Alligator mississippiensis: one gene and its partner. The protein of the gene in region 2 interacts with the protein of the main gene of each other region in a pairwise test. Links are inferred from orthologs where the notes say so. Each region holds a gene or a part of one and is shown on either strand. Other genes may lie near its edges.

What was found.
Region 1: the proteins of LPXN (region 2) and HOXC9 interact in binary tests that used the Homo sapiens proteins (3 or more experiments, as listed by UniProt). The two-hybrid records come from large-scale screens. The link is inferred for Alligator mississippiensis from reciprocal best matches to the Homo sapiens genes LPXN and HOXC9.

What each region holds. Positions count from the first base shown.
Region 1 is NC_081838.1:8,246,286-8,259,857, forward strand, and holds HOXC9 (homeobox protein Hox-C9), read right to left. Parts: upstream 7,037-13,572; 5' UTR 6,916-7,036; coding exon 6,354-6,915; intron 4,470-6,353; coding exon 4,225-4,469; 3' UTR 4,137-4,224; downstream 1-4,136. UniProt on the Homo sapiens protein: Sequence-specific transcription factor which is part of a developmental regulatory system that provides cells with specific positional identities on the anterior-posterior axis.
Region 2 is NC_081825.1:172,162,807-172,179,183, reverse strand, and holds the start of LPXN (leupaxin), read right to left. Parts: upstream 6,423-16,377; 5' UTR 6,336-6,422; intron 6,062-6,335; 5' UTR 5,853-6,061; intron 4,446-5,852; 5' UTR 4,293-4,445; intron 4,265-4,292; exon of another isoform or gene 4,107-4,264; 5' UTR 4,038-4,106; coding exon 4,025-4,037; intron 1-4,024. UniProt on the Homo sapiens protein: Transcriptional coactivator for androgen receptor (AR) and serum response factor (SRF). Contributes to the regulation of cell adhesion, spreading and cell migration and acts as a negative regulator in integrin-mediated cell adhesion events.

The DNA of each region.
Region 1 (13,572 bases), on a different chromosome or scaffold from region 2:
CTTTGCAATGTAGCTTTATAAATACAACTGTATTGTACTTTAAGAGACGTCATTGTACGGATTTCGGGTTTATTCCCCACCTCCCTCCCCCTTTTCCTCTTCTGCTTTGCAACCCAAAATGTGATCGCCTCCGCTATTCCTTCCCTTCGCCAAGAGCCTCTGCAACATGTGTAACGTGTGTTAGCGCTAATAAAGAACAAGACTTCAAACAAAGCAGCTTTCTCCTCAGCATTTTATGTATTTGCTAGTGGATGCTGGACGGAAGGTGTCTCATCAGCTATAATTAATTTACGATGGTCTGAGCTTTTCCTTTTCAACCAGTTATCTCTTGCAGAGATGATTCTTTTATTTTAGAATCGCACAGACCCCGGGTCCTTGACAGTTGCTTAATGCGTTTGCTTCTCCGGCACACATTAGATGTTAATTTACAAGTCATAGGTGAGGGAATGGATACATATTTGTTTTGATTTGGGTTTTTTTTTCCTCCTGAAACCTTTCAGAGGCCTGTGGGTGCAATGGCACGCTTTGTACCTCCCCGGGCCCGACTACTTCTAATATTGAACAACAGCGCCATCGTGCGTTGGCTTCCTCCAAGACACCTTGTATTGGGAACACAAAACAAGTCCCTTCTGTCATTAAAAAGAGAGAAAAGGGAAGGCGGGGGGGAGTCTCCTCCGCAAACACATCCAATTCGGGCTAAAAAGAAAGCCAAAGAAAACCCCAAACGGGTTGCCTAAACTCCAGGATGCGTGGGGATAATCAGGAGGCATTTTATAACCAACAATTACATGCATTGTTGATTTACCAGGAGCTTTGCAATGACCCCTCACCAAACAGTGCGCCTGTGGTTGTTGTTATATCAACGCTGCAGCGGGTGTAGCGGGTTGGGATCCCCTCCCCACCCCCTTCTTCTTTTCTGCTTAAGGATCCCATAAAAACCAAGGCCCAATGTGTACACACACAAACACCCTCCTCCAAACTGCAGTGCTTTTATCAGTTTTTAACTGAAGGGGGGGGGGTTCCCTCCCCCCTGCTTCCCTTTCCCCCTCTCCTCTCGTCCAAGGGGGGTCTGTTGTTTGTAGCTTGTAGACAAAACATTCCAATAATCCGGTTTCAAAGAAGAGAGCACCCACCTTATTTAAACCATAAAACAATTAAAGCCAGACGTCTAGCCAGATCTGAAGTCCTGTTTTGTTCGCTCCTATTCAGCGCGCATAGCAGTGAGACAAACAGAGTTGTAAAACTAGCATTTTTGCCCCCCTCTTCCTCTGCTGCGGAAGTGCACCTATGGACCGCTTTCAAAGCTGCGGTATGCTGGCTTTGTGTGTGTGTGTGTGTGTGTGTGTGTGTGTGTGTGTGTGTGCGCGCGCCTTACAAAAGGATCGTCCTTTAAAACAACCACACACAAAAATACTACAGCAGGAAAATAGTGACATGCACCCGCACATATCCCTTCGCCAGCCCCTTGCACCGGAGCCTTTTCGATCCCATTCAAGGACTCAAGCCCACCTTCTGCTTTGTGTGCTCATGTCTTCTTCTTTTTCTTTTTTAATTCGGGTTATTTTTAGCCCCGTTGCCTGTCTCCTCAACCTCCCAAGGCAGCACATTCCAGTCCTATGGTCAACCCCCCCCTTCCCCCTTTGCAGGACCAAATGCCACTTCTAGATATGGGGGGGTGCTACAGAAGCCTTGCCCGTGACCTGGGACTGCAGCAGGGATTTAAAAGCAACCAAGGCATCAGGAACAAAAGACAGCCCCACCGCACTTAGCTGGAGACAAAAGGGGTCGGATTCTTCCCTGCCTCTTGGGCTGCCTGTGTGGGTTGCCTGTGTGAAGGCTACGAGATGGGCAGGGCGAGGGAAGTTTCTTGCGGTCGCCTGGGGGATGAGAGTGCTTTGAATTGAAGGGGACAAAATTGGGGGGGGGGGGGGGCATACATCATTGCTTTCCACCCTTCGCCCCAGCGTCTCATTACATAGGCATCTCCAGAGAGGTGGGTCCGAGGCTGCTCGCAAAGTCCCTTGCTAAAGGGGAGAACTCCCCCAAAGCAAAGGATCCTTTCCCCACCATCACCCATGACTGCAAATACAGTGTTCAGACCCTCCCGGCTTCTTTCAGTCGAGGTTCCTGAGTGAAGGGGGCAGGAGGAAGGGAAATAAAGACATGAATGGAGAGGGCTAGTTGTTTTTTCAGTCAAATCAGCTCTTTTAGCCCCTCGGTCTACTACAATATTGTTACCCTGAACATTTCCCTGGGCTCCTTAAGATCCTTGCAAACGTGGGGCTTCTGGCTTTGCAAGGATGCTGAGGATGCTGAGATGAATGTATCTCGCCCCTTTTGCACGCGCGCACACACGCACGCACGCACACACACACACACACAAGCCCTGGCGCAGACAAATCCATAAGCCAAAGCCCCCTCCACATGCCAAGGGAAGAAATATGAAAGAGCGATATTTTTCTGAGCTCCCCGGGTAATCGCTTCCAGATTTTTGTATTTTGGGAGCGCCTGGTTTGGAGGCGACAAACATCTCCCCCCAGCCTGCTCTGGCTTTGATTAGGAAGATTAAAACAGCGCCCTGCTCGTTTCATTAAAGAAAAGGGACCCTCAACAAGTTTTTATGATGAAACATCCCCGGCTGCTCGTTTTTTATCCAGCCCCTTCCAGCTCTCGGGGATATCAGCCATTGAGTGTCTTTGGGCAGCGCCTTCTCCTGCTTTTGAGCCAGGGAAATCGCCACGAGCCACCATCCAGCCTGAACGCCCCCCTCCCCTAACCCCTTCTCTACGCCTCTGCTTGCCTTTGCAAACAACCGCTGCTGGGGACAGGGGGGTGGAAAACAAGGGAGACTTTTAACCCCCAAATTCACCACCTCGTGCACATCCCCTTCCCCTCTCCTCATTCTTCTCATAACCTATTATTTTTTACAGTCCTCTCCCATCCACTGCATTGTCCTTTGCCAGGCAAGAAGGAGCCTGTGTGTTGCAGGAGCTCCAGAAACCCCTCTCTAAGTCCCGGCACTTCAGTGCTAACACGCAGCAGTTGCAATACAGGCGGTTGTCAAACAGAGCAATGTTGCACACTTCCCCGGCATACATATTTAATCTTTTACATATACTTCGATTGCCTGGGGTCATAAATTAGCACAATTAATTATCCCAAACTAAAAATTTATGGCACGGATAACCCTTACCTAAACGCATTTTATGATGATACTATTAAATATAAAATGTTGTGAGCGGAAGCCAGTCTCTTTTTTTTCCCCTTCCCCCCCTAGCCTCCATCCCTTCTTCATTCGCTTTCTGCAAGACGGTGGATTTGCACATATGCACACACAGCACACACATACACACACATACACCCTCCATTTCAACAGGCTGCGATTTCTTATCAGGGCTAAAATTCCCTGGCGCGATTTTGCAAGGGCTTTTTTAAACAGGAGGAGGAACCACACATTCCCCCGAGCACGTTGGTAGCTGCTATGTTTAAATAAAGGACACCTACAGGATAAGGATTTTTTTTTTTTTTTTTTTAGCATTTCTTTTCTCTTTTTTTTTTTTTTTTTGTGATGTTAGGTATATATTTACATAAAGCTGCTCAACTATAGCAAAACGGAACAATATTACAGAACGGTGAGACAGGAAGAAAATACACAAATAAGTACACCAAAAAACGTCCAAACACTATGACAGAACATTATGGAGTGATCTCCCCCCACCCGCCCCACCCCAACCCCTTTCTTTTCTTTCTTTTTCTTTTCTCTCTATTTTTTTCCTCTCCCCCCTTTTTTTTTGTACAAAATATGCACTCACAAACTCAAGAAATTAAAAAATAAAACACTGGAGAAGTTTTAAGTTACGGAATAAAATACTAAATTAAAAAAAAATTCAAGTACTTTTTTTTTTTTGCTTGTTTTCTCAAAAAGGACGAAACCGAACCAAAAAAAAAAACCCCAAAAAACAAACCCCCAAACTAAAAACGACCTCTGGTTTTATTACTGAGCTGCATCTTTATAAAAGCAGGGTGCGTCCAACGGGTTTTGCTGTTTTTGCCTAATTCTAAACACTCATCAGCACATTCAAAGTCAGAAACATTTCGGACCAAAGAAACAGCTTTTTTTCTTCTTTCTTTCTTGCTTGCTTTCTTGCTTGCTTGCTTTCTTGCTTTCTCTCTCTCTCTCTCTCTCACCCTCGTTTCTCTTGCACTTATTGGACTCTGCCAACTTTATTGCTGTTCCTTATCGGTTTTCTCTTTATTCATTTTCTTCATTTTCATTCTCCTGTTTTGAAACCAGATTTTGACTTGGCGTTCAGTGAGGTTGAGGACCCTGGCTACTTCGTATCTCCGGTCTCGCGTGAGGTACATATTGAATAAAAACTCTTTTTCCAGTTCCAGGGTCTGATATTTTGTGTAGGGGCATCTTTTCTTCCTTGTGGAGCGTGCATGAATCCAATTCGCGACGGGGTTGCCTGGGAAAGAAGATAGAGAGAAAAAATTTCCCCCCAAAATATATATTTATATATATCCTGATTTTCTTCCTCACCTCCCCCCTCACCCTCCAGCGCCCAGTCCTTTCCTCCCATACCCTTCCCCTTAAAGAAACCTGTTTAATTAGGGAATATTAGCTAAATATCTCCAAGTGACCTTCAGAAGAGTTTAAGATGTTTATTTTGGAGGGACCATTTCCTCTCTTTTCGCTGTTGCTTGCACATAAAAGTTTCAGTAAATAAAACTCTAGCAATGGGCTTAAAATAATAATGATCCACATGAGCTCTGGTAGGAGTAATCTAAGAACATAGTCATAAAAAGTCAAAATTCCCACCATTTCACAGGCCCATAAACTCTCTTTACAACCCATGCCTCCTGGAGAAGTCTACCAGCTCTGGATCGCCTGGTTTATTTGTTTTAATATCTTGAGGATGACACAGGATAAACTGACTGGCTCCCTGAACCAGTTTTGAAGCCTCAAAAAATCCTCTCCTTCTTTCTGCTGCCCCCAGCCCCACTTTGTTAGACCTGGAACCGTGACAAAAGTGTGTGAGCTTTAAAATGATATCTTTAATCGCCCTCCCCACCTCCCTTTTTTAAAAGAGCTTCTCCCCAGCAAAGGGGAATATGCTCCCAGGTTCAGCTGCATGTTGTATCCTAGCTCTGTCTTACAGAAGGAGCTCTGCTGATTTCTATCTGGAGATGCATCGATACAGCTGGGATTGGACCCACACGCACCACACAGGCTCCTAATTTATAAATCAACATTTGATCGGATTGTTAGGCCAGAAGGCTTAATAAACACATGACATGCTTATGTTTGTGTGTGTGTGTCTGTGAGTGTGTGTGTGTGTGTGTGCCTGGATCTGGGCAGCCCCACAGCCACGCTCACATAGATGCGTATGGAGGGGGGGTCTCTTCCAGGTGCCCCCCAAGAAGGGGGGTCCCCGATATAAGTGGGGTTCCCTGACTTGTGCCTTCCCTGAGCTGCTCGTGTTCACAGAAGCAACTGCCTGTGCTTCAGGGACACACGTGCAATTTGAACTGAGCGTTTTATAGTGTGGAAAAAAAATGCTTACATTTGTCATGGGGTAAGAGGCATCTCCTTCCACTAATTCCCTGCTATGTTCAAGGTTTCCTTGAACATCCCCCCCCCCTCCCCTCCTTTCTCCCTGAGACTAAAGAAGATGTTTCTCCAAGTGGATGGTCCAGTGTCCTGCCTAAAGATGCTCCTTTATTTATCCCTATAGACTCTCCCCTGCCTTTCTTCTTCCAGCTCCTCACCCTCCTGGCTCAGCCTTCGCTGGGGACAGCCTGCCCTTCCATTGCTTCCCATGTGTTGGAGGCTTGTAAGGGATTCTTCCCTGAATGGCTTGTATATTTAGACAGATCTATAATTTTCCTCCCTTTGCACAGAGCTCTGTTTATTCTGGGATCTTCCCTCTCTCCACACACCCACACCAGGGAACCAGCTCCCAGCCAGAAGGGAGCTGAGCCCAACTCCTTTTGCTGTTGGGAAGTGGGAATATCTGCAAGCCAAAAAGCTTTTTTTTTTTCCTTTTTCTTTTGGTGGAAGGGGCCGGGGAAGGGGGGGGGGCAAGGAATATTTTATCAAAGAAACCAATAGCTTCCCCCCTTCTCCTGTTAGAAAATAACCCAAACGCTCACGGCTCGGTCTTAGCTTCTCCTAGAGGGCTTTCTTTTTCCTTTATATTTTTCTGTTCTTTTATTTTATTTTAAACCCAGCTCTTCCTGGAGCCTCGCAGATTTAGGGGACGGCGCTCTAAAGTAATTTCATTTTATTGAGTACTGTACTAGAGGCTATAATGCCTTCCCGGTTGTAAACAAGAATGACTTCAACTTACTAGGGTCTAATTCGTTCTTTTCTTCTTTGTGTTTGCTGGAAGCGATGGTTTCAGATTCCGGGGATGGAATTGTCTGCGGTGTTCTGTCTCTCAGGTCACCCGGGGATCCGTACATATAATCCGGATAACCTCGCCCGTCCATCGGGCCACATTCCGCCCTCCGGCCGGGGAAAGCGTCCGGCTTGAGTCCGTAATGCCTGCTGCTGGGTGGGAAGCCTGGGAAAGACACAGCGCCGGAGATGGGCTCTAGCCAAGTGCGCATATACCTGGTGTCAGCCCCTATGTGCGGCTGGTGCGTATACGGATGGTAAACCACGGACGACTGAGAATGCACGGGAGCCCAGGAAGTAGTAAACACGGCCGGTTTAGGGGCGAAACTGCAGGACGGAAAGTCGGCACAGTCCGGTACCAATCCTGAAGGTCTGGCGGCCGCGGGGTGCGAGCCAGTGGCGGGGAACCTGGACGCCAAGAGCTCGTCGTTCTCATGACTTATCAAGGAATCTACATAATAGTTGCTTATGGGGCCCGAAGCGGACATCCTTCCCCCCTCTTTTACATTCATAAGATTATTGTATGAACTGTATGTGTACTTTTTATCTTCTCATAGAACAATCAGGGCAGGTAATTATTTTTTCAGCCTTTCCCAGTTGGCCATTGGCTCCCCGCGCTCACGTGATTGTATTTACCCAAAAATATCGCGCGGATCAATCCGCAGGTCTTTTTTTAATAGCGCCTCGGCGACCTGGCTTTTCACGAAACTCTTGAAATAAGGCAGATATTAGGAGGCACGCAGCTTGCATTTCATTAGCGAAAGGTGGCTTTCCCTCGGTGGCTGGGGAAGGGGAGGGGAGGGGGGGGCTCTCCAGCTGAGCAGCCGGGAAGGTGGGGAGGGTAAGGTAACCCAGGAACTATTTCTTGACGTAATTTGTCTCTGTCTTTTTGCTTCTGCAGCTTGTATTCTGTAATGGATACATTACACGGAATATCAGTAAAAAGACATCGCTGGGAAGTCTAGGAGAGTTCAGCCTCGACACCCCCCCCGCCCCCTTTCCCAAGGAAAAAAGCCTCCCTCTCCCCTTAAAAAAAAGAAGTGGCTCTTTTGTCATCTTGTGCAGCGCTAATCACCAGCGAGAAATCTGCTGGCCACATGCACATGTAATCTATTTTTTAAACAGAAGTATCCGCTGGAGGAGAGGAATTAAAAAAGCAAGGCATAAAGCAAAGCAGGGAATCCCCTTTTAAAACATGAATGGGAAATAATCACCTCCCCACCACCACCACCCAAAAAAAAATGACTCTCGGCGTTAGCAGTGAAAGGGCTACATTATTCGGCGAGTAGCCGTGGGATGTTTTTATGTCCTTCAATAAAATTTTTACGAGGATCATTTGATTGTTCATAAATGTGTCGTTCATTAAATAAAACTGTAAGCCCAAGTTTCAGCTCTCAAGGCGTAGCTGGGAAGGAGAAGTCTTTGGCATGTTAAGAGCAAGCAACAATGTGGCTCATACTTGAAGGGATGCTTTTTTTTAATAAATAGATAGGCACTGAAACTTTAAAAAAAACCCACAACAAATCGATGGAAGAAGTTGGCTGAATTAAAAAAAACCAAAAAAACAAAAAAAAACACTTTATGTCCTGGCTGCATTTGGAAAGAAATAACCTCTTTCGTAGAGAAAAGCAGGTAGATAAATAGCTCCCGCCCATTGGATGAATGGAGTTGAGATGATTTCTCTGGAAAAAGAGGGGAAAATTAGGAGTAGCAGAAATCACGTCTGATTTTCCTAAAGGAGCCCCAAAGGTGGATGGTCTGGTGCTCTCAAGGACGGGGCATCACTTCAGGATTTCAGGGCAACTGGGCAGAGCTGAGGGTCCAAACTGGGGAGGAGAGGGAGGTTATGGTGGTTTCTTCTGGAGACAGAAAGGAGAGACAGAGGGGGGGCTCCTGTGTCCCTTAGAGAGGCATTATGACATTATGGACAGTGTGTGCAATTCTCAGGAAACAATCCCAAGACAGGAATGGATTCATTTCTTGTTCTTCTCCATTTTTTCTCTGTTTAAGTTCCTCAGACAGAAGAGAAAGGGAGCTAAATGCACACCGAGAAATGTATACATGATGCTATTCAGAAAGCCCCCCACCTCCCAGACCCTAGAAAGTTGCAGCCCATGTCTTAGCTGAGGGAAGACAGACTTGCACCTTAATTCACCTTAGGAATCAAGCACCACTGCTGCAAAAAAAGTGTTTCGTGCTACAAAAGGGGGCCCTGGCAATAGAAAGGGAGTGTATGTGTGGGGGCTCATGTGCTCCAGGAGCCCCAAAGTGGAGAGGAGGAAAGTCATCATCTCGCCCAAATCCCTGAGAATTTATTCTGCTCTCGCTTGAAGTCCTATGTTTTATGTGAGCCCTTAAAGGGAAATAGTCCTATAGGAGTACCACGTCCCTTTGGCCTTTATTGAGATCAATTTATCTGTCAATCACAAGACTCCAATGATGGCTATTTTTATGTGCACGCGAAAAAAGAAAATTCATCATTCTTTATCTATTCCCAGTCCCCCCCTTTTTTTTTTCCTTAAGAAAAAGAGCAAAATGCTTACTCTCCACTGTGGTTGATATGCTGTGATATTAAAACGTGGAGGCGACAAGGAACTTGGCTTTGTTGCAGGGTTGAATTATATTTAAAAGAAACCTTATAAAAGGACGGTGGTCTGCAGACAGATGCAGAAAGGGGATCAGCCAGGGCAGAGAGAGAGAGAGAAAATGAGGGTAGGGGGGAGAGGTGGTAGGGGAAAGCCACCAAAAGAGAGAAGACATTAAATGTTTAGAGCAGACATTATCAAACCAACAGGGTTTTAAAGGAAAAAGCAGTCCTGGTAACCTTAATGTGAGCAGACAAGGTCACTAAGGTAGCCCTGAATGGTGCATTTTTGTGTTACACAAAGGGAAACACGAAGCTGGCAAAAGATTTCTTGCATTTACAAGGCAACCTTCGCCACTTAGAATTATTCACCCCCCATCTTGCTACTGGATTTATTACCCCCCCCCCCCAAATAAAACCCGCAGCGTTTGCAATACAAGCGTCTTTAATTCAAGGGACAGCCTGCCTCTGAGAAACAGCCCAGGCAAAACAGAGGCAGCTCATCTCAGTACAAAACCTAAAGGTGGTTTAATGAATATGATCAGAAACCTATAGCTGTGCCCTGGCAGAATATAATCCTGAGCCCACGTCAAGCCCCTGTTTCCTCCCTGTTGGTACAGGGATGCTAACCCCTCTCCATATGGATAAACGTAAAGTTGCAGGGATCAAGTCGAGTCCAAACATGGGGCTGAGAAATAACCCCCCTGCAATAATCTTCAGCGCAAAGTTCGCAGCCAGGAGTGCACGGGGCAATTAAAATATGCCTTGAGTTTGCAAAGAGACGCTTGTAGCTATTGAGTCAACATTTCTCTACTCCTGTAAACTCAGTAGCTTCCTCACTTGCTTTTAAGGGCGATTACCTATTATCTTCCTTCTCCTCCCATCTCCCCCTTGCTTCTGCAAGCCAAATAAAATCAAATAAGAAAACCCCAAACGCTTTGCCTTTAACCAAAGCAACACACCACTGGGAAATTCAAACACACCCTCCCCGCCAACAAAGTAAACCCCAGGATTTGTACAGATATTTAAAAAAAAAGGCTAGCTTCCTTACTGAAAGAAAATCAAGGAAGCTGTTTATTTATATATGTATTTATTTGAGAAGTGCCCTGAGAAGCTGAAATCTCACACCTTTTTGGAGCCAGCTGCTTTCCAGTTCACTGGGCTCATTTTTTCCCCCCACTTCTTTGCAGGCTGATCTGCTGAGGTTGTGCAGGGGATAGAAATCTCAGCTCTCCTCTGGCTGCTTTGCCCATGGTCACAGGCTTTGGGTCCCTGTTGCTGTGTTTTTCTGCCTTGCTTTCCCTTGGCTAACTCGCCCCATGCTTTTTTCAAGGAAAAAGAAATGAATGCAGAAAGAAAAAGAAAGAAAAAGGTGGTGGTTGGGGTGGGGGGTGGTAATCAAGTCCCCTGTGTGGTTCTGCTCAGCTCCGAGAGGCTGCGTTGAAAATACACAACACTTGGAGAAGTTTAGGGCTGGAAAACTCTAGTTTGGGCAATTCCAACCTGGAAGAAGGGGTGGGAGAGAGGGGAAGGGGGGAAACCTCCCCATGTGGGAGCTCCAGGCCTGGAGAGCACCAGCCAGTACCCGCACAGGGGCTGCAGAGCAGCTGCTGGGATTTGCACCCTGAAGCTGGGAAAGCAACGCAAGGCTGCTCCCTGCAGCCACAGCCCGAGCAGCCCCCGGCTCCCGGCCGCCGAGATCCGCAGCCCGAGCTCCGGCGAGGGCCTTGGAAGCAGCAGACACCTCGCCACCCTTGACAGGCAGACAAGCCCCGCGTCCAAACACGCATTCCCCGCTCTCCCGTGGTTCAATTAACACTGTCAAGTTCGGATTAAAAAAAAAAAAAAAAAGACCCGGGTTTTGGGGTTTGGGGGTTTTTTGCCCTCCCCCCCTCCCTTCCCCGCAGCCCCGCACGCCCCCCGGCTCCGGGGAGAAGTCCAGCTCGGGGGGCTGCGGGTCGTCTTGGCTTTCGGAACAAAACGAAAGCAACCTTGCAGGCATCGCCCCTCGCTTTCATTTTAATCCCTGAGCAGCAGAAAGGCTCCCAGCTCCCCCCTCCGATCCTGTACCTTGCTCTCTGTCTCTTTGTCCTTCTTTCCTCCTTTCCTCCCTTTCTCTCCCCTCCCCAAATTCTTCCTCTCTTCCCTTTGTTCCTTCTCCACCCGCTCAACCACCCTTTCCCCTTATGAAAATAGCACACAATGGGGTTGGGGGGGTTTCTTTTTGGTGGTGTCTGAATCCGCAGCAGCCATGGGACGACTGCCCTCAGCCTCTCCAGCCTTGCAAACGCGCTTTTTTCTTGCTTTCTTTTCCTTTTCTTTTCTTTTCTTTCTTTCTTTTTTTTAAAAACCTCTGAAGGGCTGTTTCCTAGCCTCTTTGGAAAATAAAATAAAATACAATAAAACACAAAGCGAAGAAAGAGCAATTCCACGAAAATAAAATAGCCCATCACGTCCTATAACCACGCGATTGATGGATGGATTCCTCTCGCCACCGCCACCAAATTTCTTTGGCTACTTGAAGATCATATTTCTCCAGGTTGCTTTTTTTTTTTTTTTTGCTTTAAAGTTATTGTGCAGAAAGTACCCCCCAAACAGCACAGGGGAGCTGGACCTGACCTGCAGCTCCCCTGGACTTGCTGTTTCAGTGGGGAGAGCTCGGGGGGGGGGGGGGTGGGAAGAGGCAGAAAAGACACAAAGTTAGTTGCAAATCGCACTAAAGCAGTTGTTTACCTGCGTGTGTGTGCATGCGTGTGCATGTGTGTGTGTGAGTGTGCATGTGTGTGTGTTTCCCCCTTCAACTCCGTCTGTTGCTAAGAATTTTGTCTGCTGTTATGCCTTCCAAATTCCAGACTCTTTACTGGTCGGAGGGTAAGAGACAATAAATTCCGAGGTGCTATTAAAACCCAGGACCCATTTCTTTCATGGGGGTTATGGTGCTTTTTTCCGAAAAAAAAAAAAAAAGAAAGCAAAAAGAAAAAAAAAAAACAAGAAAAACCAATCAGGAAAAAAAAATCTCTTTCCCTTGCAAAAATGTTCACTGAGAAGCCCGTCTAAAAGTAATAGAGGAAGACTGAAGCTGCTCGAAATGCTCCTCTCCCATGCATATTAAGTTATCTCGGTTTGGGGTGTGTTACGAAGTACAAGTCAACAGAGGAGGGGAAAGAATAAGGAGCGTGGGTTTGGGGGGTGTGGGTGGGGGGGAATAGATTTGCAAAAGAAGTGAATTAACAGGAGAGCAAGAAAACAAGCCTGGACCTACAGAGTCAACGTGTACACTGCCTGGAGAAACATATTTCTATACTTCTGCCTCTGCATTTATTATCCTTCTGTCAGACAGCCTGTAATTAGCATAGATAAGTACGGTTCCAAGCTGCAAGTTGTGTCTGCTGTGCAAATGCCATTGTTTTGGGGGCTGCCCACTTGCACAGCAGCCCCCGCACAGGCAACCCCAAGGTGTTGGAAGGACCACGATGCGCCGAACCCGGACAACACTTCCACGAGATCCCGAAACGGAGGGTGTGTGGATGGAGGGGAAGGGTAGGGAGGGGGGGGGGGGGGTTGCAGATTTGGGAGAGGGATGAACATACAGCACGCGAGCTCTGGGCCTGGTTGAAGGATACCTGCCTGGAACACGCCAACTTCCTCAAATGAATCGGTCTCGGGGCTAAAATCCTGCCCCCGAGGAAAAACAACATACACACGGGTCCATATCCCTCCACGGGGCAGCATGCCCACTTGCCAAGATGCCCCGGCCACCCCGCAACCTGTGCACGCCAGAGCCCTCAAAGCCACCTCCAGGCACCATCCTAGAGCCCCCGCGGTTGCGGAGCCGACCTCAATGCGTATAGTTTTGCAACCACCTCTGGCACTGCACGCCGAGCCCTCAACCCACCTCAAGCGAGGCGACCAGCTAAGCGGGAGCAACCAAAGGCAGAGAAACCACAGCCTTTGCACGGCAGCAAAATGGAGCCTAGTAGCAGCTCCTTTGAACCACCAGACTCCTTCTCACTTCTAACATCTCCCTTTTCTTCCCCGCGAGGTATTTGCCAAAGCATTTCAACACCCCCAGAAGCAGCAAAGAGGAACAGTGCAACACAGGAACATACATCCAGACCCACACAAAGCCTCGGGGTTTTAAAATTACACCTGCTGGGGAAAGAGTATTATACACACATAGGCAAGGAGAGAAAAAAAATCCACCACGATGCAATCCAGCACATTGTAATATCGCTAATATTTTACCTTGATAATAACAGCATCGGAAAGTACATGCGCATCGGGAACAAAGCAAACAATATTATGGGAAAAAAGAGATGAAGGCGAACAGCATGATGTCTTTTTGACTACCCATGTTTTTTACATAAAGAATAAGGCACATATATACAAAATGGTTAAAGCCAATAAATTCTCATCGTCTTCCCCGCGATCTAATATCATAATTAAAAAACAGTAGGGGACGTTTTAACTTTTATTGCATTTCTGGAGTTCGGTTGCTAAACATATATTAACTTTAGGCTCCTGTCTCTCGGCGGGGGGGTGTTATTTAGAAATAAAATCAATCTTCATATATACAGAGAAGATA
Region 2 (16,377 bases):
TCCCCCCCTTCTAGGGAACTGGTTTTTGGCCTGCGCTTGTACAAGTGGTGAGGAGACTGTGTACAAGTGATGAAGATCCTGCTTTGTGTGGCTTAATTGCATCACGCTTTACACACATGAGTTTTGTGACTCTTAAACTAATTCTCATAGTGACAAACTAGACCATATCCTGATGTAGTTTGGTTTGAGGTGCTCAAACTTGTGACAGTTAGGCCTGTGCAAATAGGGAACTATTTGATTCGGATTTGGCCGATTCAGATGCCAGAGATTTGATATGGAGATCCAAATCGTTATTCCAATTTGATTTGGCCAAATTGCTTCAGAAGGCTCAGAGCCATTTTGGAGTTTCAGCCATAGAGTAGGTGTTAGGTGCAGGCGTTTCTGGGAAATTGCACCTGAAAGTTCTGAAAGCAAAACTCATGTCACGTGTGTGTGTTAAGTCACAGCAGAAACCCCTGCACCTATCACCTTTAAATTTGGCACACGTCACGCTCTCAGCAGAGACTACTGTCCTTGCAAGGTTCATCTGAATCAGCCAAAAGACAGCAAAGTTATAGCTATTTCATTAATTCCCCATTATACCCTATGGCTGAATCGCCGAATTGCCAAATCTTTTCCGAATCGATTCGGAAGCTCCAAACTGATTTGGAAAGCCTAAAGCTTCCAGCAATTCAATTTGGATTTGTAGATTTGGCCTCCGAATCATCCAAATCATCTCTGAATCCAAATTGTGATCCAAAGCTTTGCACAGCTCTAGTGATGATGCAGCCATAAGTTAGTCACATCTACATGGTAATTCATTGATTGATGTGTAGTGATCCCTTTGTCCCCTGGGTGTCACTACGATTTTTGTGTAGTAAGCCCCCTTTTCCACCAGATGTCACTACAATTTGCAGGTAGCTGCAGGTAATTTGCAGTGTACAGGAAGTCCTTGACTTACAACATTTCAAGTAACTACGTTTTGCACTTACAACATTTATAAATTGACACCCTATTTCAGCTTTCTGACATCATTTTTGACTTTACAACTCTTGATCCGATGCCATGCCATGCCAGTGAACAAGTTCACTGCATCACCCATCTCCCTGGAGAACAACTGTCTAAACTTCCTTGGACACTTTCTTTAAGAAAGCAGACAAGACTCCAGAAAATCCTGCAGCCAAGACTCCTGAGAAGGCTTCAAAAAGTCCAGCAAAGTCACCTCAAAGAAATCGTTCCAAATCAATATGATTCCTATTTACAATATAAATATGTTACTGTAGCTATATTACTCATCTAAAATTGATTGAGTACAAAATTCTGGGTTATTTTTGGTGAAAATAGGGTATCGGGCCTTGGTTCAGGAACCAATCCCCCATTTATAACATTGTTTCCTATGGGAAAATTGGTTCTGAGTTACAACATTTCGACTTAAGACACGATTTTCAGGAACCAATTGTGTCATAGTCCAAGGACTGTCTATAATTTGCAGATATTTGTGTGTAATGAATGTTTTAGCACTCTAGGTATAACTGCAGAGCCTGACATGAATCAATCTTCTTCTGAACTTTTTTCTTACCTCATTAAAGAAATTTTGCAAAAAAACCATTTTGTTTTTATCAACTCCTATTTCACTGTACTGACATCTGGGTGTCCCAGGGTGTGCTGGGGGGGGTAAACAACTCATTGGACTTTAATGGGTCCTCAATGTTCCACTGTTGCTTGGACGTCCAGGAGCACAGTAGCAACCAGTAAAATTGCATGCACACATGCACGCACACACATGTGCGTGTGCGCACACACACACCTCCCCCCATACTTAACTAGAAATAGTAAAATTAAAAATAAGGATGTGAGAATAAGAATTTTTAAAAAAAATATCTGTACAAAAAAATTGTGTGTTTAAAATATGCATAAAAAAACTAATGAAGGTACATCTCAGTGTGCTGTGAACGACAGGTGCCCCCTGGTTTAATTTAACAAGAAGAGATCAGCAGGGTAGATTGTTGGGTGGATTGTTACGTGGTGCTTCCTGCAGTAATTTACTGTGAATAGCACATGAGGCATTTCATTAGATTTTTGGGTTATCACATGTACACAGTGATGGAATAAATTAAAGCCCACCATGTCAATTTAGGGGGCATAGAATGATACCCTGAAGAATAAGTCCATGTCACAGGTTTCAGTCCCTAGCTCTAGACTGCAGGTGCCAACAACTTCCTCCTCCTCTCAGATGGGCTGATCTTTTATCAGATCTTTGTCTTTTGATTTCCTGCTTCTCAGCCTTAGCAAAAAAGCAGGTCACCAGGGCTGGTGGTGAGAAGCTGCTCCTTCACAGCTAGAAACTGCGCTAGTACATCTGAAAAAGATGCTGTTTATCTAGGCCACTCTTTACCTTTCCTGCCTAGTTTCTGCAACAATCTTGTTTGATCTAACTGCATAGTCAGGCAGTGTAATGCTGTACAGATATGCTGATGGACATATGATAGTTATAAGAAGATAACACGAGTCTTTCTCAGTTCTCTACACTTGCTTCTCCACACTATTCCAGTCCACACACAGGTAATTGTTTCCCAGGCTAGTTAGCTTAACCATATATCATTATTCCCCCCTTGAGTTCTTCCGCTGGCATCATCTTTTAAGCTTTAGCTTCTCAGCCTCATCTTTAAAGGTCTTTATCCACTCCCCTCACTGCATCAGCATTGCCCGTTCTACTCCACCAGCGATGCCAACTGCATTAGCCCATTTGCGTGTTTCTCCCACAAATATTCCTGCTGTCCTTTCTGATTGACCGGCCTCCTCTGAATGGATCCATAAAGCCAATACGCTTTCCTCCTTTAAATACCTCCTTATAAGCCACTTCATAGAAAGGACTCTTGTGACCATCTGGTGCCTGAGCAACCTGTTTATTAAAAAGAGTGCTAAAATTTCCCTACCTTGCAGGGATTGGGTGAGGATCAGAAGTATAACTAGAAATTTTGGTACCCTGGGCAGAGCATCAGAGCTGTTGAGTCAATCAAGCTAGTCTTCCTAACCTGTGCTCCTCTGGAAGATAGTAACTGCTACAGTGGAGCAGATCCAAGGGCCGCCTGGTCCAGTATCCTGTCTCTTACTGCAGCTAGCTTTAGGCTGCTTCAGAAGAAAGGGTAGGACAACTCCTAGCTCCTATATTACTCCACTATTATGCATATGGGATAAGTGCATATTTACCTAATGATGAAACAAAATGCCAGCGCCAATTTATTTTTCCTGGTGCTTACATTGTAACAAACTGCATCTATCTGTGTATCAGTTATGAGCACGAACTATGTGAATGCCCAGAACTCTTTGGCCCCTCTGTCTACTTTACAGTGTGACTGTATTCCACTTAATTGAATAACTGGTGAATCTGCAAAAGCCACCAATTTTAAGGCTTCAGAAGTGGCCTTGAACTGGCTGGGCCCAGTCAATTTCAAGGCTGCTATCAGAGGCATAAAATATTCTGAAAAACATGGTGAAGAGGTGCACTGCCTGCAGGATGTCCCTGGAATTAACAAGTATTAATTATATTGATTTAGGTTAAATGCACACTCAAGGTCAGTGAATAGCCTTTGTCCGTCCTGAGGTAATGCACTTATACAGGGAACACTGTAGTTCAGGATAACCACAAACCCTGAAATATAAGGTTTAATATCCTCTTTCACAATTTTTAGCATGGCCATAAAAAAAATCATTCAGTTCCCCATAGAAATGTCCATTCCCTCTTTTGAATCTTCCTAATTTCTTAGTCTCACCAAAAGTCTGGGGCCGTTCCCTCTGCAGGCTAACAACACAGCGGGGAGGGAAAGCATTTCGTTTTATTACTTTTGAACTTGCACTTTTTAATTTCACTCAATGTCCTCATAACACAGGGAACAGAAACCCCCTCTCCAGAAGCTCTGCCCCAGTACACCCACCCTTCCACCTCAGCACTAGTTCTATCCCTATGCTAGCATAAAACAACATGCTCAGGGCCTTGATTCAAATGTCCATTCCTTGCTCTTCAACCAGAGAGCAGCTCGCTTACCCAAGTCATCCATCTCCAGCTGCCACGGAGCCTTCTATCCCTCTTGCTCTGGATTACGCCAAGGTGCTGCTGGATAACAACACTGTAGAGAAAACAAGCGAGACAGCGATTGAGCGGAAGAATTGGTTGAACAGGCTTTCTGTTCCTCTCTTTTCAAAGCTGCACTTCCTTTCTTTGCAAGGTCAGGGACTTTTTTTGGTGGTCATACGTTACACAAAGCACGAGGCGTTTAGACCACAGAAAAGGCAAGCAGGAAGGAGAGTCTTACCAGTCTGGTGCAAATGTAGTCAAGGCTCTATCTTCTGTGTGATCAGGGCATGATGCTGGCCTTGAACCAGCAAGAGCAGTTGTGCCTGGTGAGAATCACTGAGTCCATCCTGACTGGGGTCTTTATTCAGCTAAAAAGAAGAACTCCTTGAGGCTGGTGCAAGCCAAAAAGGATCCATTATTGATGAGAATTGATATGCGCAAGAAACCACCATGTGCGGTTATTAACTTCTTCATGTTATTATTTTGTCCCAGTTAAACTATCATGGACCCACCCATTCTGATGGTGTGTATTAGGTCAGATGGTGCGTATTTGGCAAGATAATCTGCTGAAGATGCCCATATCCATGGAAAAACATTATACTGGTTGGGAATTCACTTGACTATGAACAATCAATCACCTGTTTGTTTATGCTTGGGAGAGGACAAGAGGAGGAACAGTTGAGACCTTTCATTTTTAGCAGTTTAACTTTAAGCATTGCATCATTTAATGGCACCCTGTTGCCAGGAAGAAGAGTGAATGATAATTACTGTTTTTTTTAACCAAAAACGGTAATTACAAACGATAGAACTGGCCACTAGATGTCAGTGTAGAACTATGAGGGGGACTATGAACTTAGCAAAATGATTTGACCTTCTGGGCTGTGTGAATACAACTTACTTTAACTGGGATTTGGACTGGCAGGTAATGAGCAGAGGCTAGAACATTCACTATATCTATTGATAAGAAAAGTTGAGATTATCAATGTTATGATGTTTATAACAAAATCCTACCCTGAACCCAATGTCTGTGTGTCAGATGTCACTTCAACACAAAATGAGATCTCACAAAATGTAGCTAGTGTGTATCTATTTACATTCAAATAAACCTAGAGCTTAACTTCCTTCCTCCAGGTGCCAGGTCTCCTCCAACATAATAACAAAGTGCCTGCCATATTAACTCTTCAAAAAACCCTGAGCCTAAGTGCCAAAGGCACTCAGTCCAGCAGCACAAGGTCCTCATATTCCAAGGCACTCACAACAAGGTGACATGACCATCAATGCCTCAGATCTAGTGTCAGGCTCTCTCACAACTCAGGACATAAGTCTGCAATCTGATAAAGGTCCAGGACATAATAGAGCCACTAACATACAATCGGGACACCCCATGTTTCTAACATCACATGCCCAAGTCATCGACAGTTGAGCACATTAAACTCTGAGGCCCACTGTTGTTTCATTCCAGTCTGGACTACTGAGTTCCTTTCCCCTGTGAGTCCAATTCCTGAAATAACAGAGTCTGATTAAGTTCCCTGTCAGGCAGAGAACAGAGATTTTCTAGGGGAAAATAAGCTAACCTATAAGAATGTACAGTAACTAGACATTTCCTAAAGGGAAAGACAAGGTAGGAAAGAATGGTGTTCAAAGCTGAAATGTGCACTTCCATCAAAAATCACTCTACACAACAGAGATCAGACTTATGTCCAGGGAGTTCTTCTAACCACATCCTCTGCAACTGAGCTGCAAAGGTAAAGAGTTAGGTAGGGAAGTTAGCTAGGCCCTAAACCATGCAATTACTTACTTGTGTATTATTGTTGGGTGATCCAGGCACCATTGTTGCAGTAAATGTGGCTGTAGTCCCAAATATCCTCTAACAGGTTCAGGTTGCCTCATCAGTTCTGCCTCCAGCTTCGCCTTTTCAGACAGCACTCTTCTCACATATGTCACCCTTCTGCCTACCTATTTTTACCCGTTGTTCTTTCACAAAAATATGCTGGTACATGGGTGGATCTAGGATTTTGAAAAGGGGGGGTGCAGATGGTGTATTGCATTATCACATAGAACACAACAGACAATTTTCTCCAGTTAAAAAGAAACTAGAAGCTTCACTAATATGTAGGGGCCTAAAGCTGTATTATTAAATTTAAGACTGAAGCAAAAAGAATTATTAGAATGAGCATTCATTTGCTATATCACATATTATACATAAAAACACCACAAACTAGGCAAAAATAATCCAAATATGTTGTTTCATTAGTCCTGAAGACATTATAGCTAAATGTACCTTTGTTTTTCAGATTCATAAAACAAAATCAAGCCTTCTCAAGCATCTGTACACTGCTTCCAATGCTTCATTTAAAGTGAGTTCCACCCTTGAGTTAATGTTTACCTGAGTTAATATTTCCACACCTGAGTTAATGTTTTAGCTAGAGATAAAAAACAGCCTGCAGGACTGTGAAATTTGAAGCTATGTTACTAGGAGCAGCTGACAGACAGCAGCATTGCAGAAGTAAGGATAGCTGGAGTAATGACACTATTAAAGACCATTTAAAATGAAAGAGGGTCATTAGCACCTGTAGAATGAAAAGCTTAGAAAGAATCAAGAAAATTCCAATGAGTCATTAGGGGCACAGACAATAACATTTGTTGCCTGATCAACCCTTTGAAAGCACTTTACAGCCATGTCATAATACACATGCATGGCTGCAGAACACTTTAAAAGTAGCTGATAGCATGGCAAATTAACCCTCATCAAATGGGGGATCAAATGAAGGCACTCCATTTTGGAGCATCTTAGGGAAGTCTGTTCCCTAGGGTCAATCTGTTGTGCAATCTTGCTGCATCAGGCCAGCCCCGTCCCTTGTGCTGTCTGCTGGAAGGAAGAGGGGAGGGGGAGTGAATTGCGGGCTGCAGTTTGCCTAACCTGAGAAGAGGCAGGCTGTGGATTGGAGACATTTCCCCCCACCTCATACCTTCCACTGCCAAAGTACCCCTCCCCCCAGCTCAGGCCAGGCAAACCCCAGCCCACAGCTCATTCCCCCTCCCTTCTTCTTCCTCCCTTCCTGCAGACAGCACTAGATATGAGGAGGGTGGGGGCTAGAGGAGAGAGGCTGCAGGCAGGTTCCTTGGGCTCAATCAGCTCCAAAGAGGAGATCTGTCCTTGAATTTTGCCACCCCCATCCTCCAACCCAATTGGCAAACATCTCTTGAGGCTGGGGCAGGTGGGGTGGAGACATGGACGGGCACTCTAACTCTTGGTTGCTTTATGTAAAGCACCATGTGACCTAGGATAAGATGGCTGATGAAAGGCCTCTGAAGAGGATTCAAGAAATGGGTCTGAGAGAGCCAGGGCCAAGGGACCCAGAGGTGAGATTGAGACAGTGTCAGCGGGAGGAGGCTTTTAGCCCAGGATGGGCAAGGGCTATAGCTGGAAGCCTGCAGTCCAGAAGGGGTGTATGACATCAGGAGAGAGCCCAGGAGGGGCCAGGATAGTTAAATCAAGAGGGCCTGAAGATGGTCCTGGGTAAGACCTGAAACTGCTGGTCAGCATGGTGGGGCTGCCTGTGGTGAGGTATCCACCACAAAATGCCCAGGGAAAGGTGAGCGTGGGACACCTGAAAGCCTCAGCTCCCATTGCCTTGTGGGTTACCCCATGGAGGGGGAAGGCTAAGGGACCACACCCTAGCAGAAAAGGAAGGGAATTGAGTGGAACCAGAAGGATCCAGAGGCCCAGTGAAGGTCCAGGAAGAGACTGGAGGGGTTGGACAACAGACCAAAGAGTCTGGGAGCCCAGGGAGGGACTGAGTGGAGAGACCAAAGGGTCCAAAGGCCTGGAGTGGGGCTGAGGGATCTGAGGACCCAGAGAAGGGCTGCGGGAGTGATGAGAGGACATCAGTAAGGATGCCATCTGTGAGGCTTGGGGTTCAGTATAGGAGCAGAATGGGACCGCGCAACTGGCCCATAAGGCCTTGACCACAAACCTGCTGGTCATGACAATAAAACCAGGGAAGCCTCCCGCAATTCTTACTAACAATTACCATCAAGGCAAGGTGGGCAAGAGCAGGGCAAACTGCCCATAGAGCAGGGTAAAGAAATGTTTTGGTCTCCAGAGGCTTCATGGCCACCCCTGAAGATGGCACCTTGTGACAAACCCATTTTTAGGTCTTATCTTCATAGACTGACACTGTCAGGAGCTAGTCATCATTGGCAATCCCTCGATTTGATGATGACCTATAGCACAGTTCATTGATGGGTCGTGAGCAGGAACCAGTAAAATAACTAGAGATGGATGATTAGGGTACCAAGCCCAGGTGGCCACATAGAGGGGGAGCAAGAATGAAAGCAGCCATCACTGTCAGCCTGGTCACTGCAGCCATAGCCAACTCTGCCCCTTCCATTCCTGGGCAACCCAAGACAGAATCTGGTTGTTGTAACTTGGTGAGAACCCTTAGCTATTAGCAGAGATCTGGGTTTCCCATTTGCCACAGAAAAACATGGTAAAACCTGGATTTTCTCATTTTAAGGAGAAAAACTCAGATTTCCTCCTTTAAAAGAGAAAAATGGAGGGAACGATGGGTTTCCCCTTGCAAGCTGGCAGAATTCCAGCCTGCAGTGGGAGAGGGTAGAGAGAGAGAGTGCACAGGGCCGCACCAGGAGTGGGGGGGCGGGGGGGGCACACAGGGCTGGACACAGGGGGTGGCGGGGCGCATGGGGCCAGATGTGGGGGGGATGCACAGGTGGGGGGGCACATAGGGCTGGACATGGTGGGGTGGGGCATGGGGCTGGAGGCGGAGCAGCAGCACTGCTGGGTGCTGCATGGCAGCACTCCGCCCCCCCCCAACTCCGCCCCCTGTCATTCATGACGGACAATTTGCTAGTTGTAAATATATCATTAAAATATTGTGTTCAACTGATACCTATATATATAATGGCGTTCCATTTTAATCAGGAAAAAACGTGGGTTTGGTGGTTTTTTGAATAGGAGAATTTGCTATTTTTAAATAGAAAAAACCAGGATCCCTGGCTATTAGGTTTTCACTGGTCACTAAAGACAGCATTAAATGCTAGCAGCATGAGCTGTGACTCCCATATGGTTCATGATCCTTGGCTGTTGACCTTTGACCTTTCTTTTCACTTCCTGGCTAACCAGGAAGACTATATGTTAACCAAAATAAATCACTGAAAAAAAATAATTTAACTAAGAAAAAGGTATAGAAGACAGAATAATTCAGAAGGGCTTAAGTAGAAAATACAAGGGGTCAGAAGTCACCCTCTCAAAGACAACCCTGTGGGACCTAAAGGGAGGTGGTTGGGAATTGAGATTCATGCAAGAGCTGTGCCTGATTACCATGGGTGTCCCTCTAGCCACTATTCTGTCCCAATCTTTGTCCTGACCTCGGCACAGTTTGTTTCCAATGGTGCCAAATTTAAAATTGTAGCTGCAGAACTGTTGTATAGAAGACCTGGCATTAGGTAGCTACATATACAGCACAGGGGCCATCAAAGGAGAGGCAGAACTATTACCTCCAGAACAAATTCTCCTCTCAGTCAGGTAGGACAGAAAGGGGACTTGGAATTCACTTAAATGCCTAGCGACCATCACTTCCAAGTGACACAGTTGAGGGTTCCAGCATGGAAAGATGGACAAGACAACATCCCCTTCTCTTCTCCTCTGTGTACCCTACAGTCACAGCTCCTTTCAGCTCGAGAGGAAAGAAATTCCTTTTCTTTCCTCTCTCTGCTCAGCCTGTCTGTCTTGTGTCAGGGGACAGAGTGTACTAGTGATTCTTCTTTTCCTTGCAGATTCTTTCCCTTGCATTGACAAGCAATTTGACTCAAGAAATCTGAGCCAACAAAGGGTAAGGCACTGCTGAATCTGATTCTGGCCAAAGGGGACAATCTGGTCAGCAACCTGAGGATCAAAGGGAAGCTTGGTGACAGTGATCATGAGTTGCTCACTTTCTCTGTCCATCACAAAGCTGGCAAATCAGTCAGCAATGCAAAAATCCTCGGCTTTAGGAAAGCTGACTTTCACAAGCTCAGGAGGTTGGTCATCGATAGGGGTGTGCGAAGTGGGCCCTATTCAATTTGGATTCAGATTTGGCCCAAATCAGGGACAGTGATCGATTCGTTGATTCAGACCACTGTCCCTGATTTGATTTGGCCAAATCTGAAGATTCGATGCTGATTCGGAGAATCAGTGATTCAGATATAGATACAGCTTTAAAAGTTTTTTCTACATACCTCGAAGTACCAGCATGGCTTGTAAACGCTGTGATGCTGGGGCGGATGGAGCATCCCACAGGAGTGTGTGGGGGGGCCCTCCACATGCTCAGTGGTGAACTCAGAAGTGGATGATTGGCTGTGGGGGTCCCTGGGTACCCTCCCCTCCTTCCCAACCCAGGAGGCACCAGTCGAGCTGGGAGGGTGTAGGGGGGAGACCCCTGTGCGCTCCCCAGTGGACCTGGAAGTGCTTCTGGCCCACTTCCAGGTCTGCTGCCGAGCACGCTGGAGAGCCCCCCGTGCTTCTGTGGGACACTTCATGCGCCCCAGCATAGCAGTCTTCACGAGCCACCTGCTACCTAGAGGTATGTAGAAAAAACATTTAAAGCTGTGTCTCTGGCTGAATCACCGTGTAGCAAAACCCCCAGGTTTTTCTTTCTTTATTTTTTTTATTTACTTAAAAATACATTCCCTCCTCTTCCCCAACCATTTCTGACTCTTTGTCTGCCCCCTCTATCCCTTATAAGTAGTTGTAGGTAGTCATAGGTAAGCTAAGTTCTTATACTCCCTTATAGTAACAAGCCCCTTTTATAATGTAAATAGTGTTCTGTTACGTTTTTATTGATTTTTACTGTTTTATATTGTATTGATATGATTTAGGCCTGTGTCTGTAAAGTAATGTCAAGTTTCCATTTTGTATGTCAAGCCTACATCTTGTGTCCCCTGCCCAGGTATAACCTATTGTATAGTATGTTATAACTGTGATTCATGTCTAACCAATCTCATGTAAATTGGTTCCTGAATGAATGGGAATGAATGAGTGTGCTTGAGGCATAATGGTAGCAGGCCTCTACTGAATGATTAGTAATGACCAGACCATCAACTCAGTGACCCAACCATTGCCTTGCATTGACTCACCCAGGAACCACAGACCTCAACCAGGAATAGAGAGACAAAATGCAGCATTTGAAAGATACAGGACCCCAGCATTTGGAAGACAAAGACCCTACAGAAACCAACAAACCCCACCACTGTATCCCACCAGACAATGAAGGCACCTGGATCTGCACGTATGCATTTGAGCAGGACTGGCCTTGTCTGGACATGTCCTTCCCATAGAAGACACAGGTAGCCCACCCCTATAAAAAGGGTGATAGAGCGTGACCTCTTTGGGATGCCCTCTCCATCTGGACCAGCACTACACCATGCCACCTATCCACCCAGAGGCCCTGCCAGCGACCTCCCTCTGCAAAACACCTTGCTAGAAAAGACCCTGACTGACCATCAAGGATCAACTCTCAGCCTGGGATAGGTAGCTATCACCCACCTTCTTCCCCCAAGCAAAGGACCTGGACTCTGTCTCCACACACCTTGACTCCAGTCCCTCCACCAAGCCTTTCCTCTTCTGCTATCATTGTGTGGGTATGTGTGTGAGAATATCAGTGTGTGTGTGTGTGTGTGTGTGTGTGTGTGAACCAATAATTTTGTGGGGCTGTATAGTGTGCTGCCTGATGAATAAAACTGTTATTTTGAAACCCCGAGTTGCGTTTTTGTCTTATTGACCTCCTGGCTCTCCTCCTTGATTTCCTGGCTTTCTCCCTCTGTTCTTTCTTCCTCATTTCTAGCCCTGATCTCCCAGCTTTCTGCCCCTCCTTTCAGCCCCTATCTCCCAGCTTTCTGCCTCTCTGCTTCCCGACTGTCTCCTCCTTGCCACCAGGCTTTTCCCCTCACTTCCACACCAGCACCAGGTGACCCCGAGTAACCCCAAAGGCACCTTGACCTCAAGTAACCCTGAGCACGAAGTTACCCCAAACACCCCTTAGTGTTCTCACACAGTCACAGAAGTGCATGTTTGTGTATGTTTATGTGAACTCATAGTGGTGTATGTGTAGTTTGTGTGTGTGTATAATTTTGTATCACGCCCTCCTGTCTAACAGTGCAATATTGAGATCCTGAGTGTTGATCTGGCACATGTCAAGTCAAGAGCTGAATATTTCTGAATCTCTCCGAATTGATTTGGAGGGTTCTAATTTGATTTGGAGAGATTAAAGGGTCCATTGATTCGATTCAAATTCAGCCACTGAATTGGGCCAAATCTCCGCCGAATTGAATCGGGGACCGAAGCTTCACACAGCCCTAGTCGTTGAGGCCCCGAGAGATCATGATCTGACAGGGAGGGAAGGCCATGATGAGTGGTCGCTCCTTAAGGATGTGATCCTAAAAGCACAAGGGAAGTCCATCCCATTCCATAGGAAAGGTAGTAAAAGGGCCGAGAGATCTCCTTGGCTCAATAGGGAACTCATGGACCTCTTTAATCTTAAAAGAGAAGCTTACAAGGGTTGGAAGATGTGAAATAACTCTAAGGAGGATTATGTATCACTGGCCTGCACCTGTCAGGAGCAGACCAGAAAAGCCATGGCTAAAACTGAGCACAAACTGGCTATGGGAATCAAGGAAAATAAAAAGTCCTTATTCAGCTACATGGGAAGTTAAAAGAAAAACAAGGGCAATTTAGGACCCCTGCTGAACCAAATGGGGCAGCTGACAACTGACACCCAGGAAAAAGCTAATCTCCTCAAATGATTACTTTGCATCAGTTTTCCACCAGCCCAAGGGGATCACTCTGCCTGATAGGACACAGGATTAACATGGTAAGGGCAACCATATGCCTACAATTGGCAAAGACCTTGTGAGGGAGCACCTTGAGAGGCTGGACATCCACAAGTCAGAAGGCCTGGACAGAATGCCCCCCAGAGTGCTAAAAGAGTTGGCTGACATCATAGCACAGCCAATGAGAATGCATGGTGCTTGGGAGAGGTTCCTGAAGATTGGAAGAAGGCCAATGTGGTACCCATCTTCAAGAAGGGAAGGAAGGAAGACCCAGGGAACTATAGGCCAATTAGTTTGACCTCAATCCCTGGAAAGATCTTGGAAAAAATTATTAAAGAATCCATCAACAACAAGCTAACGGAAGGCATCATTCTGAGAGAGAGCCAAAACGGCTTCATTAAGGGTAGGTCATACCTGACTAATCTCATTTCCTTCTACGACCAGGTGACATGTCACCTGGACAGGGGAGGAGAGGTTGATGTCACATATCTGGATTTCAAAAAAGCCTTTCACTTGGTCTCCCACGATGTCCTCATGGTAAAATTGGGGCACTGCGGCCTCTACAACTTTATGGTCCAATGGCTGGGGAACTGGCTCTGTGGTTGGACCCAGAGAGTGACTGTTGATCAAACCAAGTGACCAGGGCCATCCCCCAGGGTTCAGTTCTGGGACCAATACTCTTTAATATATTCATAAACAATCTGGATTCGGGTGTCAGAAGCAGACTGGTTAAGTTGCAGACGACACCAAATTATGGGGAATCACGATCACTCTATAGCAGGGATGGGGAAACTCCGGGCTGTTGGTCGGCTGGGGACTCCATTTCCCAGCTGCCCCTGCTTGCATGGCTTGTGCCGGTCTCCATGGAGACCTCAGCCGGCCGGGAGCACCGCAGCAGAGCAGTGTAGGAGGCTGCTTCAGAGCTGCCGGGAACGTGGGACAGGGGTGGCTTGCTCCAGAGCTGCGATCTGTACCCTGCACACTCCAGGCAGGGGCACGCATGCAGGGCATTGAGGCTCTGCCCCAGCTCCAGACAGGTTCTGGCTACTGCAAGGAGCTGGGGCAGAGCCACAATCCCTGCATGTGTGCCCCTGTTCAGAACATGCAGGCTACAGATAGGGGCTTTGCCCTGGCTCCGAAACAAGCTGCCCCATCCCACATTCCCAGCAGCTCTGGACCAGCCCACTGCAGGGCTTGGGCTGGGGTCTCCATAGAGACCAACACAAGCCATGCGGGCAGGGGTGGCTGGGAAATGGAGTCCTCAGGTGACCAGCAGCCAGGAGGTTCCCCATCCATGCTCTAGAGGATAGGCTGGGGATTCCGGCAAACCTGGACAGGCTTGCAAGGTGGATGGATCAAAACCTGATGACATTCAACATAGAGAAATGCAAGGTGCTCCACCCCGGGAGAAAGAACCCACATCGTACCTATAGGCTCAGCAGTGCTATACTCATTAGCATCATGACCGAAAGAGACTCAGGGGTGAGACCTGCAGTCATGATTGACCACCAGATGAATATGAACCACCAATACGATGTCGCAGCCGCAAAGCAAATAAAATCCTGGTTTGTATCTACCGATGCATTTCAAGCAAGGCCCAAGATGTCATCCTCCTGCTTTACTTGGCTTTGGTGAGGCCACAACTAGAGTACTGCATCCAGTTCTGGGCTCCACACTTTAAAAAGGACATGGAGAAGCCTAAGAGAGTCCAAAGGAAAGCCACACACATGATCAGGTCAAGAGAGAAGGCATGAGAAGGAGAAAATTTTTTGGAGGGGGCTGAGTGTGCATGTGCATACGTGTCCTCCCTCCCTCCCCCCCCCCCCCCCCCCCAGCAGGCAAGTCTGTGGGGGGAGTGGAAAGGGCCCTGGGAGGAAGTGAGGGAGTGGGCCTACGACCGGCAGGGATCAGGAGGGAGTGGAGAAGAGCTGGGCCCAGGATCGGGGCCAGGGCCCACTGTACCTGTGCAGCCACCCCTTCCCCCGCACCCAGGGTCCTTGAGCAGCTCTGGCATCCCCGCACCAATGAATCTGCCACCCCCCAGCCCTGCACCAGCCCCAGCCCCAGCCCCATACCGCCCATGCAGGGGACAACAAAGATGATCAAAGTCATCTTGGGGTGAGCCTTGGCTGTGCCGACAAGCCCTAGGAGATGGAGCCGCCAGGACTACTGCACCCACCCTACCCTGAGTTGTCGTTGCTTCCCGGGGGACATGAGGAGGGGGTGGTGGCTCCCGCTGCTGCATGTGTCCCTGGAATGCATGTGGGGAGTGCATGCCCCCAGATCTGCGTGGGGCAGCGCAGGGTGCCACTTTGGGCTGGGATGGAGGCTGCACTGGGCTCTTCCCAGGCTGCCTCCCCCCAGAACAGCCCAGCACAGCCCCATCCCCAGACTCCAGTGGCAGCCTGCCCTGTCCCTTGCAGATCCAGGGGCACACGCCCCCCATGCCTCCTGGCGTGTGGGTAGCAGCAGGAGCCATGCCCCCTGGACAAGATGCTCGTGGCTCAGTCCCAAGCCCCGCTGGCTGTGGAGTGCCTGCCCCACTCCCAGCCTCAGCCCCACTCCCTCCCCACCCCTGCTGCATTGGAAGCCCTCAGCCAGGCTGCCTTGCGGCCCTACTGCTGCTCCATGTTTAGGGGCTAAGCCCCATTAGCTCCCCCCCACTTCTTGCACCTATGAGAGCAGGCCTTATGAGGAGGGGCTGAGAGGCATGGGACTCTTCAGCCTGGAGAAGCGTAGGTTCAGGAAGGACTTGGTGGCAGCCTATAAGTACACCAGGGGTGTGCATCAGGATCTGGTAGAACATCTGTTCATCAGGGTACCCCAAGGGAAGACAAGGTCCAACAGTCACAAACTGTTGAAAGACCATTTTAGACTGGACATAAGAAAAAACTTCTTTACTGTCTGAGCCTCCAGAGTCTGGAATAGACTCCCCCAGAAGTGGTGCAAGCACCTACTGTGGACACATTCAAGAAGCGTTTGGATGCTTGTCTTGCTGGGGTCATCTGACCCCAGCTGACTTCCTGCCCTTTGGGCAGGGGGCTGGACTTGATGATCTCACAAGGTCCCTTCCAGTCCTAATGTCTATGAAATCTATAAGTCTATGCATATCACCACTCTGGATTTCTCTCCAGTCCCCACCACATACCTCCCACTTTTTCCCCACTGGCCACTATCTCCCTTCATGGACTGTCTTGTGAGGCTTGCTTCTTGCCTCTGCAACAGTTTACCTAAAGAAAAGCTAAGGCAACAGTCAGGGTAACTAGAAACAATGGACACAAGTTAAAAGAGCAAATTCAGGCTGGACATCAAGAAAAAGTTCTTTACAGTGAGGGTCGCCAAAATATGGAATAGGTTTCCAAGGGAGGTAGTATTGTCCCCTTCCTTGGAAATATTCAAAAGGAGATTGGACAGACACCTGGCTGGGGTCATCTGACCCCAGCACTCTTTCCTGCCCAGGGCAGGGGGTTGGACTCAATGGTCTAATAGGTCCC